Linked DNA regions of Canis lupus familiaris. The protein of the gene in region 1 interacts with the protein of each later gene in a pairwise test. Links are inferred from orthologs where the notes say so. Each region holds a gene or a part of one and is shown in the gene's direction. Other genes may lie near its edges.

The links.
Region 2: the proteins of KASH5 (region 1) and SLC41A2 interact in binary tests that used the Homo sapiens proteins (3 or more experiments, as listed by UniProt). The two-hybrid records come from large-scale screens. The link is inferred for Canis lupus familiaris from reciprocal best matches to the Homo sapiens genes KASH5 and SLC41A2.

Annotation. Positions count from the first base shown.
Region 1 is NC_049222.1:107,750,127-107,753,770, reverse strand, and holds the end of KASH5 (protein KASH5), read left to right. Parts: intron 1-559; coding exon 560-605; intron 606-1,833; coding exon 1,834-1,884; intron 1,885-2,093; coding exon 2,094-2,158; intron 2,159-2,243; coding exon 2,244-2,375; intron 2,376-2,480; coding exon 2,481-2,622; 3' UTR 2,623-3,477; downstream 3,478-3,644. UniProt on the Homo sapiens protein: As a component of the LINC (LInker of Nucleoskeleton and Cytoskeleton) complex, involved in the connection between the nuclear lamina and the cytoskeleton.
Region 2 is NC_049231.1:34,451,962-34,456,139, forward strand, and holds the start of SLC41A2 (solute carrier family 41 member 2), read left to right. Parts: upstream 1-1,340; 5' UTR 1,341-1,434; intron 1,435-4,178. UniProt on the Homo sapiens protein: Acts as a plasma-membrane magnesium transporter. Can also mediate the transport of other divalent metal cations in an order of Ba(2+) > Ni(2+) > Co(2+) > Fe(2+) > Mn(2+).

The DNA of each region.
Region 1 (3,644 bases):
TGAGTCCCCAGAGAGGTATTCCAGGGGCTCAGGCAGCTGCAACCCTCAGAGGGGCAGAAGTTGGCAGCTTGCACACCGAAGAGAAATGATTTGTGAGGAGAGATGTTCACAGTTGGCTTCTGGAATCTTGGTCCTAAAAGAAGACTCAATAAACCTGAGACTCACTGAAAAAGACACAAACCTCACCCCCACCCCCGCCCCGCAGGCATAAAGTGGGGGGTGGAGTCCACCCCTGCCCTAGAGTCCCAGAGAAACTCTGAGTCTTGTTTGGGAGAGTAATTGAGCAGAAGCCTCAGCTCCTAGCTAGGGCATCAGCTGGAAAACAGCAGAAGAGAAAACCGGTTTGATCAAGAGACCCTCTTACCCTTTGGGGGGTCACACACTCTTTTGCTGAAAATTCCCCTGTGAAATATGCACACTGACCTACACACAGCAGTTTCCTCATGGGAGGACACCTCCAGACCCATCCATTTAAGAACCCCTGCTTTAAAGGTTCATACAGCTCCACGGTGGGCGAAGGGGAGCCAAGCCAAGCAGTATGACTCTGTTGTCCCCTCAGGTTGCCCAGAAGCGAGAATGAGGAGGAAGTAGAGCCCCAGACCATGGTAAGCAGTCCCCACCCACTCCAGGCCCTTGAGGAGGGTGATGCAGTGACAGCTCCTCCCAGCCCTCACCCACACTCCCACTTCTCTTGAGCAGACAGAAAAATCATTTGGCCAAGAGATAACAAGGCCCTTGCTATAGCTAATGAGAGCGGACAGCGTCGTGGGGGAAGGCCTGCAGGCCAGTGGGCGGCCAGAATGTTCCCAGGGGACCCCCCAAGCGCATACATGGGGCGGCAGCCGCTAAGCCACAGGCCTCACAGACGTGGCTACACCCCCGGAATGCGAAAATGCACACGCACATGCACCCACACACAGGAAGGGGCTGGGCCCTCCCCAGCCAACCCCAGAACTCCCTGGGGCACACACCTGTCATGGCTCTCCCTCCTGGCACCACACACACCAGCAGCTTTGCGCCTCCAAGCAGCAGGGTGAGGTGCAGGTACCAGTCTCATTCTCAGGCTGGGAAAGGGAGTGAAGCTCAGAGAGGAGAGACAGGGAGCCCATAAGTCCTCAGGATGGGAATGTGGGATCCCAGGTATTTGCCGGGCATCCAGGCCGCTTGGAGTCCAAAGCATCCAAGATGGTCTCTCTGAGCAGCCTGACCGCAAAGCCCACCTCCCACTCCCCTCTACGGATACTGGGCCCCACCTCAGTTTCCTCCAAGCTGACTTGACCATGATTTCTCCCTAGTATCAGAGTGGGGGCGGGGAGGGCTAAGGGCCATGTGAAAGCCCCCATGCCCCCCCCCCCACAGAGCAGGCACACAGTAGGTAGGTGGCAGTGGTGAAGGTAGGGGCTGTGATTCAGTAGGGTCCGGTGGTCCTGTGATTCCTTATTATTGCTTTTACTGCCATCATCAGCATCCATGGGACGAAGATGTGGGTGGGAAAGCCTGAGACCAACACAGGGGGTGCCCTTTCAGAGAGACATGGGGGATGAGGTGGCCCCTGGAGGGAATATTTGGGGCTTTCATCTTAAAGCACCTGCAGGTTCTGATGCAGGCAGAGAGCGTGCCCACACTGGACTAGGCCCAGTACAGGGTTAGACTCATGGAGAAGATGGGGTCTCTGCCCCCACGGAGCTTGGATACTTCCAGAATCAGATGCAAATGGAAATAGTAGTATTGAACAGCTCACATAATTATGGAGTGCCCACTGTGTGCCAGGCACAGGGCTCTGCTCTGAGAGCCCTCTGGCTTTTTGGCTTTTACCTGCATTCCCTTCTGCAGACTCCGCTTCAGCCCTGTGAGGAGGGTACTGTCATGGACCCTGTCCAGCAGGTAAGGCAAGTGGGCCATGGAGATGTGGGGTGACCTACGGGGCATACAGCTGGAAGCTGGCAGAACTGAGAACCCAACCCGGCAGGCTGTCTCACTGTGTTCCACCCCTTTCCATGTGGTCACTTCTGTCCTGGTTCAGTGGCCTGAACCAAGGGCCTCTCCCAATCCAAGACCTGAGAGTTCCAAGTTTGTCTCCTTTGTCCCTCCAGGACAGTCTGCCTATCCCTCTGGGGGACCCTCATCCTGGAGACATCCCAGGAAGCCCTCCTGAGAGGTAAACAGGGACCTGTGGGGACTGGAAGGGACTTGGAGGCACAGGAAGGGTCCAGCATGACTGCTCTGCTCTCCTTTCTGTCCAGCAGCCCTGCTGAACCAGAGCTGCAGCAAGCCCTGGTGCCTGTGGTAAAAGAGCTGGTCCCAGTCAGGAGGCCAGTCTGGGGCCAGGTCCACGGCCAACTCTGCCTGCCCACCATGTACCACCAGCCTCTCAGGTGCGCCCCAGAACGTCTCCAGAAGGAGAGTGGCAGTCACACGGTGGGGCTCTACACCACCAGCATCCCCTGCACCTTGCTAAACACTGGACTGCCTCCCACCAGGGTCCCTCGGCACCCGCTGATTCCGGTACCCGTCCTGGGCCTGCTGCTGCTGCTCCTGCTCTCCATCCTGCTGCTGGGCCAGTCCCCGCCCCCCACCTGGCCCCACCTCCAGCTCTGCTACCTCCAGCCTCCTCCAGTGTGAGGCGCTCAGAGCAAGGCCTAGGCAGAGAATCCTCGGGGGCTCTTCCTACTGTTATTACCATTGTTGTGCCACCATGACCTGGGAGGACCCAGGTCCCGGAACCCCAGATACAGTGCTCCAGGACACACACCCCTGTATTGGGTTTTTATGTGAAGTCTTTTGTTTTTTTTTAACATCAGTGACCACAATTCTTAACAATACCAAAACACACCCAATAATGGATTAAATGCTAGGGGCTTATTTTTGAAACCAGCCTGGAGAAGAACTGTGGGTCCACAGCTCTGGATCTCCACAGCCTGGGGGTCAAGGGAGCTGGGATTCTTTATCATCCTCCTGGCCCTTCCTCTTGATCAGGAGGTGGCAGACATAGCTTCATGTGTCACATCTGCAGGAAGAAGGGGACATGTCCCTTTGTTTATAAAGAAAACCAGTAGCCTTCCCAGAGCCAACCGCAGAGCCGTGTTTCTGTCTCATTGGCTGGAAGTGTTTATTGTGACCACTCTTAGCTGCAAGAGAGGCTGGGAGACAGAGCACCTCTTTCCTCTCCTGGCAGAAAGAGGGAGAGATACATGTGGGTCCTGCACACATCACAGATGTCCACTGCAGTGCAAACAGCTGGCAGGAGATGGACCAGTGTGCCATTTGTTCACTCATCACTAACTGCTCATCCATGTGCCACAATTAGACCTTAGAAGATAAAGCTGTAGGGGCATCTGACCTCTGCTCAGGTCATGATCTCGAGGTCCTCGGATGGAACCTCACCTCAGTCTCCCCACTCAGCAGGAAGTCTGTTTGTCCCTCTGCCCCTCCCCCCATGTTTGTGTGCTCTTTCAAATAAAATATTTTAAAAATTCATTAAATTATTTTTTTTAAGGAAAATAAAACCGTAGAAAAATAGGCCCCTCCAATGCCAGCCTGAGGAGCACTGGTTTTCTCCTCAGGATAATGGGAGCTTTGGGAGATTTTATTGCTTGTTTTTTTTTTGTTGTTGTTTTTTTTTTTTTTGGTTGAGTTTTAATTGA
Region 2 (4,178 bases), on another chromosome or scaffold:
TGGTGGTAGAATTTTCCAAGCTGAGAGAGGGTGGTTTGTCCAATTCAAACCTTGTGCAGAAGTCTTGGAAGACTACGTGACCCAGGGGACGAACACTTACCCAGTTGGAATTTTACTTCTGGCAAACTTACCTCCTAGTGAAATGTAATTCAGAACAGTAAGAACAAAATCCACTTGGAAATATGGTCAAAACACTGTTTTTCCATATTCTTTGCAATTATCCTTTCATTCCTAATGGTGTTTAGATTGTGAAGAACACCTGCATTCACCATTATAAAAAGCATAACCGTAGATGGTCAAGATTGATATGAAAGCACACTTCACCCAGAAGGTTAAGGTCAAAACGCAATCTGATTGCGAAGCAGAAAAACAAAAACCTGGGTAAATGTACGATCCAGTGTCCCTTAGCACCTGAAAAGCTGCTACTAAATCACTGGTGTGACTTAGAATTGATGGAAGCTTTGATCTGAGGAAAAAGAGTGCCACTAGCTCTGTAATTTTTAAAATGACATCTTTCAGAATAAATGCCTGAGGACGGACACCTTTGTTTTGGTCACTGGAATGTCCCCCAGGCATGGGCCATTACCTGAGTCATACAAAAGGTGCTCAATAGTTGTTAGGTAAGAGTTCTCGGCTTTACGTGGCAAATTTTGGTCACTTTTACCTAGATGGTGGCGAACTTGAAAAGTCTTAGTATCCCAGCCACCTGCACTGCACCCGCGCACTTGGCTCCTACACCCCTCTCCCCCTGGGAAGGTGCTGGGGGCCGCCCTACATCCCATCCCCTTAGTGGTCCTGGTCCCCGCCCCCGCCCCCACCCCCACCCTCTTCGACCTCGGCCAAGCGCAGCTACACGGCTGTTCCTGCGCTGCTCTGCAGACAGCCAGGCACAGAGTTACATACGCCTTGGTTTTAATTCCCGTCTGCGAGAAGGAAACACGAGCCCAGCCACCAGGAGGCCCCGGTCTGAGCACAGAAATCATGAGTCATAGATTCGGGGGTTCGGACCTAGGAACAGCTGGCGATGTGGATGGGCGTCGGGCTGCGGGGATGACGAGCCCCCGCCCCGCCCCGCCCCGCCCCGCCCCGGGTTCCCTGGAGACTCCGGCGTCCGCTCCTCCATCCGGCCCCCACCCCAGGCCCGCGGCTTGCAGGGTGCGGCCGGGGGTCGGGGCGGGGCGGCGCTCGCGCTCCAGGTCGCCGCCCCCGCGGCCACATCAGCAGCCTCTCGCCTCCCCCGAGGCGGCGGCGCGGCTGCGCGTGCGCGGGGCGGGGGCGGGGGCGGGGGCGGGGGCGGGGGCGGCGGCGGGGAGCGCGCGGGCCGCGGGCGCCGGCTCCGGGGCTGTCAGCGCAGGGCCGCGAGGGCGCGAGGAGGCGCGCGAGCAGGAAGGAGCCGCGGCCCGGGGCCGCCGCCACGCCGCCGCGGGGGACTAGGTGAACGAACGCTCCTTCCATCCCCCGCCCCGCCCGGGTCCCCCCTCCCCCGGGCCGGCGCGGCCGCGCTCCGGGGCAGGTGATAATGGAGGGGAAGTCTGCGCCGTGGCCGCGGCGCGGGGTTCGGGCGCATCCCAGGTACCGGAGGGAGGTGGGGGCGCCCGGCCGGGCCCTCTGCGGCAGGGGCGCGGGAGGGCCGGGCGGCGGGGAGCAGCCGCCCCCTGCCCCGCGGAGCCCCCAGCCCCGCGGAGCCCCCAGCCCCGCGGAGCCCCCTCCCCCGCGGAGCCCCCTCCCCCGCGGCCCCCGCGCCTGCGGCTGGCCCTGGGCGGCGGCGGGGAGGGGGCGCGGCGGGGCGGGGTTGGGGGTGGCCGAGGGCGGGGAGGGGAGGGGAGGGGAGCGCGGATGCAGACGCCGCGGGGCGGGCTCGGCAACCCCGGCCCCACCGCTTCGGGGCGCGGCACTGCTCCGGGTCGCTGCCGCCTTCCATTCCTTTCTTTAAGTAAAATATATCTCAATTAAAACAATACCCCAAACGTTCATCTACAGGAAGAGATGATACGTTCGTATGTAATGATGTATATTCCATTTACAGACATGTTGCACATATACGTCCTCTTTCTGTACGTGCAAGCTTGGTTTGTTTTTTTTTTTTAATTGAGATATAATGCGCATACCATAAAATTTGCCCTTTTAAACTGTGGCTTTTACTTTAGTCACAAAGTTTTGCAGCTATCAGCACTATCCTGAGCGTTTTCATCTCAAAATGAAACCCTGGACCCATTAGCAGTCATTTCTCATTTCACCCCTACCCCATCGTCTGGCAGCCGGTAATTTACTTTCCCTTCTCTATGGATTTGCCTATTCTGGAAATTTCATATAAAAGGACTAATACAACATGTGCTTTTTGTGTCTGGCTTCCTTCACATAGAAAAATGCTTTCAAGGTTTATCCATGTTCTAGCTTGTACTGGTACTTTATTCTTTTTTTATGCCTAGGTAATATTCCATTGTATTGCTGTACCATAATATCACATATTGTTTATCCATTCATCGCTTGATGGACAATCCCGGATGTTTCCACTTTTTGGCCTTGTGAATAATGCTGCCATGAACATTTGTGTACACGTTTTTATGTGGGCATATGCTTTCATTTCTCTTGGGTGTCTTTGTGTTTAACTTTTTGAGGAACTGCCAGACTTTTTGCCCGGTAGCTGCTTCCTTTTACATTCTGCCAAGCACTGTGTGAGGGTTCCAGTTTCTACACATCTTCACCAACACTTGTGATCATGTATTGGCTGGTTTTTATTTTAGCCATTCTAGAGGGTGTGAAGTGGTATTGATTCACATTGACCTAATGACTAATCATATGGAGTATCTTTTCATGTGCTTATTGGCTATTTGAATAGCTTCTTTGGAGACCTGTCTATTCAAATTCTTTGCATATATTTTAATTGGATTTTTTGTCTTTTTTTTTTTTTTTTTTTTTTACACGTTGGGTATTTGTCTTTTTATTGATGTATTATGTTGTTCATTTATGGAAAAAAAAATAGGTTTGGGGCTAGTTCTGACTAAAAAAGCCAACCGACCTGATAGCAAGCACCATAATGTTTCTTGGGGAAAGCTGAGTTAAGTGCCGTTTACGGTTTTCAGACTATCCTACCTGTCAATTCTTGGGCATCTTAATGCCTGTTTCCATGTCTCATATCTTGAGAAAAGCCACAAAGGTATGCTATGACCAGATTCAAGAGAGACCACACACAGTTGGTGTTTTCATATATTTCTTGCTTGATTTGAAAAAAGTACCAGTTATCACTTTAATTACAAATAATTTATTTTGATGGCTGGTTAAACAAACTACTAAAAATAGCAAACACCAGTTATTCAATTAACATTTCATATGCTTAACTTCTCAGGCAAAGTGGGAGATCTTGTTTTCCTAAGTTTTTGTAGTCTTTATCACAGTTAGACTCATCTATGGGCAAATAAATATTTTTGATGGCGCTGAAGTTAAGAGCCACTTACAGCTGAATGAATACCGGTATGCTTATTTCGTGGTTTATTTCTGAGTACACACAAATTCAGCATTAGCCTTAGCTCTTTTTATAGCAAAAACCACCGAAAGAGACAGGACACCTGCCTCTCAGGAGTTCAGGCTCATTTTCCTATTACTCTAATGTGACTGTTCAAAAATATACTTCCAAGTTTCAGAAATGCTATAGAAAATAAAATTGAAGATTTCCAAGTAGAATTAATGGATAAACAACTGATTAAAACTGTGAAGAGCAGCCCAGTCCTGGTTTTCAACTACTAAATTATAAAACAATGGAAATGGTGTTTAACCCCTTTATGCCTCATTGACTTTCTTAGTAGAAGGAATAATTTCAATATATAACCTGAATGTCTGTTTTCTTTTAGCTAATGGAATGATTATCAGATGTTTTGAGAATAATAACCTATCCAACCTAGTAGTGATTGTTACTGACTCACCCAGTGGATATAAAAATGTCCCATAGCTACAAATGGTTTTCAAGTTGGCCTTCTTCTTGGTACCTTCGAGTTTTTAGGACTTATTGAGGACTGAAAGTCAAGTGCAATGAAAAATGGGAACATGATCCCTGGGAAATGGTGATCAGAGCAGACCTGCCTCCTATATGGTGAACTTATAGGCGCTTCTCATCTTTTCTCTGAGATTACTGTAGTTACATTTCTATAGCTTAAAAGTAATGTGTGTGTATTTTAATATAT